Linked DNA regions of Callithrix jacchus. The main gene of each other region encodes a partner of the protein of the gene in region 2 in a complex. Links are inferred from orthologs where the notes say so. Each region holds a gene or a part of one and is shown on either strand. Other genes may lie near its edges.

Evidence for each region. Proteins that work in one complex are often made in the same cells at the same time.
Region 1: the proteins of SMAD7 (region 2) and SMURF1 are in contact, whole or in part, in an NMR structure (PDB 2LTX), measured with the Homo sapiens proteins. The link is inferred for Callithrix jacchus from reciprocal best matches to the Homo sapiens genes SMAD7 and SMURF1. Residues at the interface, in NP_005895.1 of Homo sapiens: Glu203, Glu205, Ser206, Pro207, Pro208, Pro209, Pro210, Tyr211, Ser212, Arg213, Tyr214, Pro215, Asp217; in NP_065162.1 of Homo sapiens: Glu313, Arg315, Ser316, Thr317, Arg321, Tyr323, Val325, Asp326, His327, Arg330, Thr331, Thr332, Phe334, Thr335.

The regions. Positions count from the first base shown.
Region 1 is NC_133503.1:14,565,510-14,569,009, forward strand, and holds part of SMURF1 (E3 ubiquitin-protein ligase SMURF1), read left to right. Parts: intron 1-360; coding exon 361-481; intron 482-1,831; coding exon 1,832-2,033; intron 2,034-3,500. UniProt on the Homo sapiens protein: E3 ubiquitin-protein ligase that acts as a negative regulator of BMP signaling pathway. Mediates ubiquitination and degradation of SMAD1 and SMAD5, 2 receptor-regulated SMADs specific for the BMP pathway.
Region 2 is NC_133514.1:92,053,799-92,057,853, reverse strand, and holds the start of SMAD7 (mothers against decapentaplegic homolog 7), read left to right. Parts: upstream 1-1,255; 5' UTR 1,256-1,592; coding exon 1,593-2,205; intron 2,206-2,600; exon of another isoform or gene 2,601-3,060; coding exon of another isoform or gene 3,061-3,139; intron 3,140-3,536; coding exon 3,537-3,590; intron 3,591-4,055. Other genes in the region: uncharacterized protein LOC118146891, read left to right, coding at 1-556. UniProt on the Homo sapiens protein: Antagonist of signaling by TGF-beta (transforming growth factor) type 1 receptor superfamily members; has been shown to inhibit TGF-beta (Transforming growth factor) and activin signaling by associating with their receptors thus preventing SMAD2 access.

The sequences.
Region 1 (3,500 bases), on a different chromosome or scaffold from region 2:
TGCTCATGGGCTGGGTGTGGTGACTCATGCCTGTAATCTCAGCACTTTGGGAGGCCAAGGCAGGCAGATCACCTGAGGTCAGGAGCTCGAGACCAGCCTGGCCAACATGGTGAAACCCCATTTCTACTAAAAATACAAAAATTAGCCAGGCATAATGGCAGATGCCTGTAAGCCCAGCTACTAGGTAGGCTGAGGTAGAAGAACTGCTTAAACCCAGGAGGCAGAGGTTGCAGTGAGCCAGGATTGCACCACTGTACTCCAGCCTGGGCGAAGTGAGACCCTGTCTCAAACCAAAACAAAACCTGCCTATGGAGGAAAATCCACTTGGTGTTGCATCCAACTTGTGAGTTTTTCTTCCAGGTTGTATGTAAACTGGAGGTTTATGAGAGGAATTGAAGCCCAGTTCTTAGCTCTGCAGAAGGGGTTCAATGAACTCATCCCTCAACACTTGCTGAAGCCTTTTGACCAGAAGGAACTGGAGGTACGTGCCTGCTGTGTGGAGTCCACCCAGGGCGCTCAGGGGCTCCCCCTGTGGCTGGCATCGTCTGCCTGTTTTAAATCCTTGATGCAGGGTGTGGCATGCACTGTTTTCTAGAAAGCCCAGGAGCTGTTGGGGTTCCCAGAACAGTCAGCTGGAGCAACAGTGGGGAGTAGAGGGTGTTTACGTCAGTTGGTAACCAGTGAGATGTCTGCATGGTGGTTGGAAATCTGAATAATTCCCGGGACGCTGTTCAAGGTGGTTGTGGCTTCTCTCGTTTTCAGGATCTCTAGCAGGGAGATCACGCGGCCCTCTCCTTTCCTGGGAGAACCTGGTTCTCCCACAACTTACTGCCTTTTATTCGGGCTGTTACTAGACTAAGAACAAGGGGATACTGTCTCTCCAGTCCTACTCACGCGCTTGAACATAGTGACTCATTCATCCCTTACCATCTCTGGTGCGAAACAGCTCAAGCCTTGTAGATTGTTCTCCGAGTCTTTCTACTGCCAGTGAGGAGAGCCTGGGAGCCAAGAGCTTGGATGGGGCAGTAGTTCTGGGGTGAACTTTTGTGTCTTTTTTTTTTTTTTTTTAAAGACAGAGTCTTGCTCTGTTGCCCAGGCTGGAGTGCAGTGGTGCAATCATGGGTCACTGTAGCCTTGACCTCCCAGGCTGAAGCGATCCTACCACTGCAGTCCCCTGAGTAGCTGAGGCTATAGGTGCATGTCACCATGCTTGGCTAATTTTTGTATTTGTTGTAGAGAAAGGGTTTTGCCATGTTGCCCAAGCTGGCCTTGAACTCCTGGGCTCAAGCGATCCACCCAACTTCAGCCCCTACAAAGTGCTGGGAATATAGTGGCGTGAGCCACTGCACCCAGCAGGGGGTACTTTTAAGCAAGTTGCAGAAACGCGTCCCATCTACCCTAGCCCCACGTAACTCTTGCTGAATTCTCCTTTCTTCAGACTTGAAACTCCACATGTCCTTGAGTGTCCTGGAGAGACCCCGGGACATGCTCTTACTCATGGTTAGCTCTGTTCAGTGAACTGGGTGGTTCTTTGAGACTCACTCCTCACCGATGCAGAGCAGAAACCCTGCTTTGGTTATAAGATGATGCCCCATCAGTAGCTGTGCACCGTGGTCTTGGGGTTGGAGGAGGCAGAGGGAGGCATGTCCCACAGGTCTCCTGTTCGTTGCTTTCTTCCTGTCTCAACTACTGTCTAGTTTTTCTTTGGACACAGCCGCTGCTTTGTTTGGGAACCGACTTTTCACTTGTGTGTGTGTTGGGTACCTCGGAGGCGTGTCCTGACGTGGGTTTATACATTTTGGGAGTAACTCATCTTTCGGCACCTCCTCAGCTGATCATAGGCGGCCTGGATAAAATAGACCTGAACGACTGGAAGTCGAACACGCGGCTAAAGCACTGTGTGGCTGACAGCAACATCGTCCGGTGGTTCTGGCAAGCGGTGGAGACGTTTGATGAAGAAAGGAGGGCCAGGCTGTTGCAGTTTGTGACTGGGTCCACGCGAGTCCCGCTCCAAGGCTTCAAGGCTTTGCAAGGTGACTGATGGGGAGGCGGGGCTATTTGATATACGTCTCTGCGGGCTGTGGGCAGGAAGAGTGAAGGTGGCTGGGATGTTTTTCCGAGATGTGTGCTAGAACACAGCATAAGGAGTGTTCTCCAGTAATGAATGCTCTGCGCTGCAGAGGTGGCCACCTGGCAGGGGCCGTGTGTAAGCAAAGACTGCAGAGCCACTCTCGGGCACGGGGGTTCCCCCTCTTCACTGCTTCCAAAAAGCCAAGAGGGTCTGGCCAGCAGGGGTCTTTGAAGTGTTTGGGAGGCCTTGCACTTTCCAACTCTGTGAGCCCAGCTTAGCCAAGACCCTGGATAAGGAGCTGTGGGGGAACCACCCCAGTCTCAGTGGCTCCGAAGCTTGACGCTGCACATGAACCCCTACTTAGCCACAACACACCGAAAGGTGCCGTGATGCTCCCTCTGCGTAAGCCACTCAGGTTGCTGGAAGTGGGGGGCGGAATTCAGTGGCGGAGGTGCCGATCTCCCTGCAGGTCATCTTTTACACTTAACGGCTTGGGGGGGATGCTGCTGGAAGGAGTGAGGTGAAGGGTGTCACCGTACTGAAATTTAGCTGGACTGTAAATGCTGATAGACATACAGACACACTGTGAAGACAGAATATTCCGTCTGAATTGCTGGCTCAAAGGAGGTCATCAGGGCACCTGCCTCTTTTCCATCATGACCTCCGCCTATGGATTTGCTGCCAGGGGCCCAGCATGAATAAAAAGGGGTTGGAGGCTGAGACCCGCTTGTATCTGGGAGCCTCCATCTGCTTGACCAGCTTGACCATGACAGCTGCTCCCAGAGCTTGGAGCCTGTTATTTACAAAGCCTTTTTCCTTCAGTTCTCCCAACAACAACCCGGAGAGCCTGGTTGAGCGGGGATTAGCCCCATTCCATGGAAGAGGAAGCTGTGACTCACTGAGGTCACGGGATTTATTTTCCCTCCAATGGGGAAAAAGAAACATGGAAGGTGTGAGCGGTGTGCCAGGGCAGGAATCCAGGCTTGGTGACCATGCCACCATCGTCTTGCCCGTAGCAGGCCCACGTGCTAAACTTTCCTGCTTAGAGAGAATCTCTGTCATTATAAGGGTCTCATCAGTCCCCTAATCAGGTGGACTTTAGGCCAGTGTCCCTGAAGTGTCTAGAAGGTGGGTCAGAGGTGACCAGGGCTCACCTGACAGGGTCACAGTCCAGTACCAGAGTGCTGGTGCTGAGAGAAGGGAATGACTGGTAGCAGGGCCAGGCAGAGTGGCCAGGGCCCTGCAGGAGGTCTCTGAGGCCCTCACTGGGGCATGTCTGGTCCAGCCTGTCCTGACTCCCCAGGAGATCAGGGTGGGAGGGTGTGGACTGTGAGGGAGAGGAGCTAGCTTCCTGCCCCAGGTTCCCCAGGAACCAGGGGGGTGCATTCCAAGACCCTCTGCCCAACATAAAGATGGGATCTCCACTTGT
Region 2 (4,055 bases):
TGCTGCTCGGCGCACGGAAGAGCCTGTCCCCAAGCCGCGCCAGCCGAGCCAGCCGGGCGCCGTGCTCGGTCCGCTCGCCGCGCGGGAGAGAGCTGCCCGAGACAGAGCCAGCCCGTCGGCGCCGAGCCGCCGAGCGCCGGGCCCCAGAGCCCCTGAGTGCGGCGCGGCGAGCCCTTGGCGGCGGCAGAAGGACCCGAGCGCCAGGAGAGGGCGGACGGGGGACAAGGAGGCTCCCGGGCGCGACGAGGAGAGTCTCGGAGGAGGAGGCGCCGAGAGAACACCGGGGCCTCCTGCCGCCGCAGCTGGGTCGAGGCGAGCAGCCCACGCGGGGAGCCCCGGCGACCAACCGCGGCCAGGGGAAGGGACACCGGCGGCCCCCGCATTAGCAAGCAGCTTGTGCCCAGGGGGGCAAGAACGCGCTACCCGCCTGGGGCCCGCCGCCGCCGCCGCGCCGCCCTCCCCTGTGCTGTCAGCCCCACCGGGCTCAGCCGCCGCCGCAGCATCTTCTGTCCCTGCGCCCCCGCCAGCCTCGAGGAAGTCCCCGCTGAGGACCTGAGCCCCCAGGCGCGCAGGAGGGAAGACCAGAGACTCCCCTAAACCACCCAGATGCGCAGGATTGAATCGGTCTAGTCAAAGCTTTCTGTGGATTAAAAAAATACACGATTTTTTTTTTGTTTTTGGCAGAAGAAAAGGAGAGGAAGACCAGCGGGGCTCTGCAAGGAAAAAAGGGGGGTTGTAACTCGTGGATGCGTTTTCCCACCCCCCAAACATCTTGTTATACTTCGTAAACATTTTTTTTTTAAGCCCCAGCTCCAGCCGGACGCCCCCAGACCTCCAAGGTTCGAGGAGGTGGTGTTTTTCATTTGGGGCTTTGCATATTTTGGTTGTTAGGTTTTGAGAGAACCTTCTTATTTCGCCAGACGTCTCATGCGGGGTGAAGTCCACTCGGCCCCCTCCCCTCAGCCTTCGTGTGCACGAAATTCGAGGAGATCCGGTTACTAAGGATATAGAGGAAAAAAATAAATCGCGTGCTTGCTTTTTTTTTTTTTTAATTGCCTGCTTCTCCCCACCCCCAAATTAAGTTGCTTAGCAAGGGGGAAAGAGGCTTTTTCCTTCTTCCAGCAGCCCAGCCGAACGCCTTTCGTTTTTTGCCCCCGCGGATCTTCCATGTAGGAAGCCGAGGCTGGCGAGTCCGACATTCGGGAGCCACTGCGGGGGGGGCTGTTTTTGGGGAGGCGCCGACGGGGGCAGGCTCGGCCGTCCCCAGGGAAGCGGCGGCCGGGTTCCTCCGGGGCGCGCCGGGGCCCGAGAGCCGCGCAGGGCGCGGGCCGCGCGGGGTGGGGCAGCCGGAGCGCAGGCCCCCGATCCCCGGCGGGCGCCCCCGGGCCCCCGCGCGCGCCCCGGCCTCCGGGAGACTGGCGCATGCCACGGAGCGCCCCTCGGGCCGCCGCCGCTACTGCCCGGGCCCCTGCTGCTGCTGCTGTCGCCTGCGCCTGCTGCCCCAACTCGGCGCCCGACTTCTTCATGGTGTGCGGAGGTCATGTTCGCTCCTTAGCCGGCAAACGACTTTTCTCCTCGCCTCCTCGCCCCGCATGTTCAGGACCAAACGATCTGCGCTCGTCCGGCGTCTCTGGAGGAGCCGTGCGCCCGGCGGCGAGGACGAGGAGGAGGGCGCGGGGGGAGGCGGAGGAGGAGGCGAGCTGCGGGGAGAAGGGGCGACGGACAGTCGAGCTCATGGGGCTGGTGGCGGTGGCGCGGGCAGGGCTGGATGCTGCCTGGGCAAGGCGGTCCGAGGTGCCAAAGGTCACCACCATCCCCACCCCCCAGCCGCGGGCGCCGGCGCGGCCGGGGGCGCAGAGGCTGATCTGAAGGCGCTCACGCACTCGGTGCTCAAGAAACTGAAGGAGCGGCAGCTGGAGTTGCTGCTCCAGGCCGTGGAGTCCCGCGGCGGGACGCGCACCGCGTGCCTCCTGCTGCCTGGCCGACTGGACTGCAGGCTGGGCCCGGGGGCGCCCGCCAGCGCGCAGCCTGCGCAGCCGCCCTCGTCCTACTCGCTCCCCCTCCTGCTGTGCAAAGTGTTCAGGTGGCCGGATCTCAGGCATTCCTCGGAAGTCAAGAGGCTGTGTTGCTGTGAATCTTACGGGAAGATCAACCCCGAGCTGGTGTGCTGCAACCCCCATCACCTTAGCCGACTCTGCGAACTAGGTAAGAAGTTGCCCGGCCACCCCCAATATTTTCCAGCGCGCCAGTGCTGGAAGAAAAGCCCCTAGGGCAGTGCGTGTGCCGCCACCCCTTCAGGGGGAGTGTACAGCCCCTCCTGGGAGGAGACTTGGTGGGGAAAGTAGAGAAGGGACACGAGGAAACTCAAAGGGCATTCCCTGGGGGTTCCCTGTCAGGTTTTCTCCTGTGTTGCCCCGAAAGGGTCTGTGGGCACTGCTCCTGCACACAGTGTACCAGACGTGCGGTTAAAAATTAGACGCCTTCATTTCCGGATCAACAAGGGGGTGCAGAGGGAGGTGGGGGTCACGCCTCCCCGCACCCGGAAAGGCGTTAAGGTGTGTGGCCGAGTTGGATTTGGTCCAAGCCCGCCAAGGAAGGTTGGGAGAAGCGAGCTGTAAAGGCTGGAAGGACTCCGCTCCTTTAGTAAATACGGAGAATCACTCGAACACAAGTGGCTCAGATACTACTGTGGCCGTGCAGCCTTGGACTTTTGGGGCAAAGAGGGTTAGGATGGAAGGCCGAACTGGGTATCTCCTTTCAACTCTGCCAGTTCCAGGGTGCTGAGGAACAAACAGCCAGGAGAAGTTGGGTGTCCCCTACTTTTTCCTTTCTTCCGCACAGAGAAGTCTATAGATAGTCGGCCCCCGGCGCCTCGGTGACGTTGTCTCCGCTTATTGCGCTGGGGCCTGGACTTCTCGGCTGAGATCCTGAAACTCCTTCGCTTTTATCCTCTCTGCTTTGTCCGTTCCTTCCTTTGCTCTGTATTTCTGTACACGGAGTGTGTTGTGAGGGTTCACCCCGGGTGTCCGCAGATCCCCCAAGTTCACCAGCACGCTTGGGATGCATCTCCCTAGTGCGCTGGGAATGGGGAGCCCCCGTGTCCCCCGCGCGGGTGCCCAGAGGACCAGCGGGGGCAGAGGTGAATTGCACCCCTGGGGGCCGGGCTGGGGCGGGGAGCCGGTGTTGTTGGGAACTGGGGCTGGAGTCTGCGGACGAGGAGGGGGCACGGTCGCCCCCCGCCCTGTGAACTGTGAAGTGCGCGGCCCCGGCTGAGCCGGTGGTTTCCAGCCGGGCCAGCCGAGCGCGGCGGCGGCGGCCGCAGACGTGGAGGAGCGGAGAGCCGAGGCTGGCGCCAGGCGGCCTCTTTTGTTTATCTGACAGCTAAATATCAAGGCAATCACCGCCTTGCGGCCCTGCCTCCAACCCCCACAGCTAAGACAAACAGTTGGGCTAAAAGAATGCCTCTGTTATCATAAGTTTCTATCTCTTTTTCTCATGGCTGGGCCTTTATTTTTCTCTTGCTTTTTTAATTTCAGAGTCTCCCCCTCCTCCTTACTCCAGATACCCGATGGATTTTCTCAAACCAACTGGTGAGTAGCTGATTTTTAAAAAACCCTTCGGATCGAAGTTAGAAATAGAGCCTGTAGAACCTGGGCTTCTACGTGTAGGCAAAGGCCTGGGAAGGAAGGCGCTAGGCTTGCTTCAGGTCGGTTCTAGGTTTCCTCTGTTGGAAGTTTGGTGAATTTTCCTGTTGTGACTGGCTTTTTGTTTTGTTTTTTCTTTGCAAAGACCTTTTCTTGATATGCTTTACGTTTTGTTCCTTTTTCATGTATTTGCACTCTGTGGCTGGGGGACTCGGCTTTAACACGTGGATGCTTTTAGTTCAGAAAGAAGTATTTTGGGAACCAAATAGGACTGGTTGGTGGGGAAAGCTTGGAGACTTCGTGAGTGCCGGAGCATCTGGAAAGGGTGATTAGATGGATGGGAAGACATTTTTAAAAGGTGCAAAGAATACTTTGGTCTGGAGTAGACACTAGAACATTTCAGTAGAGGCT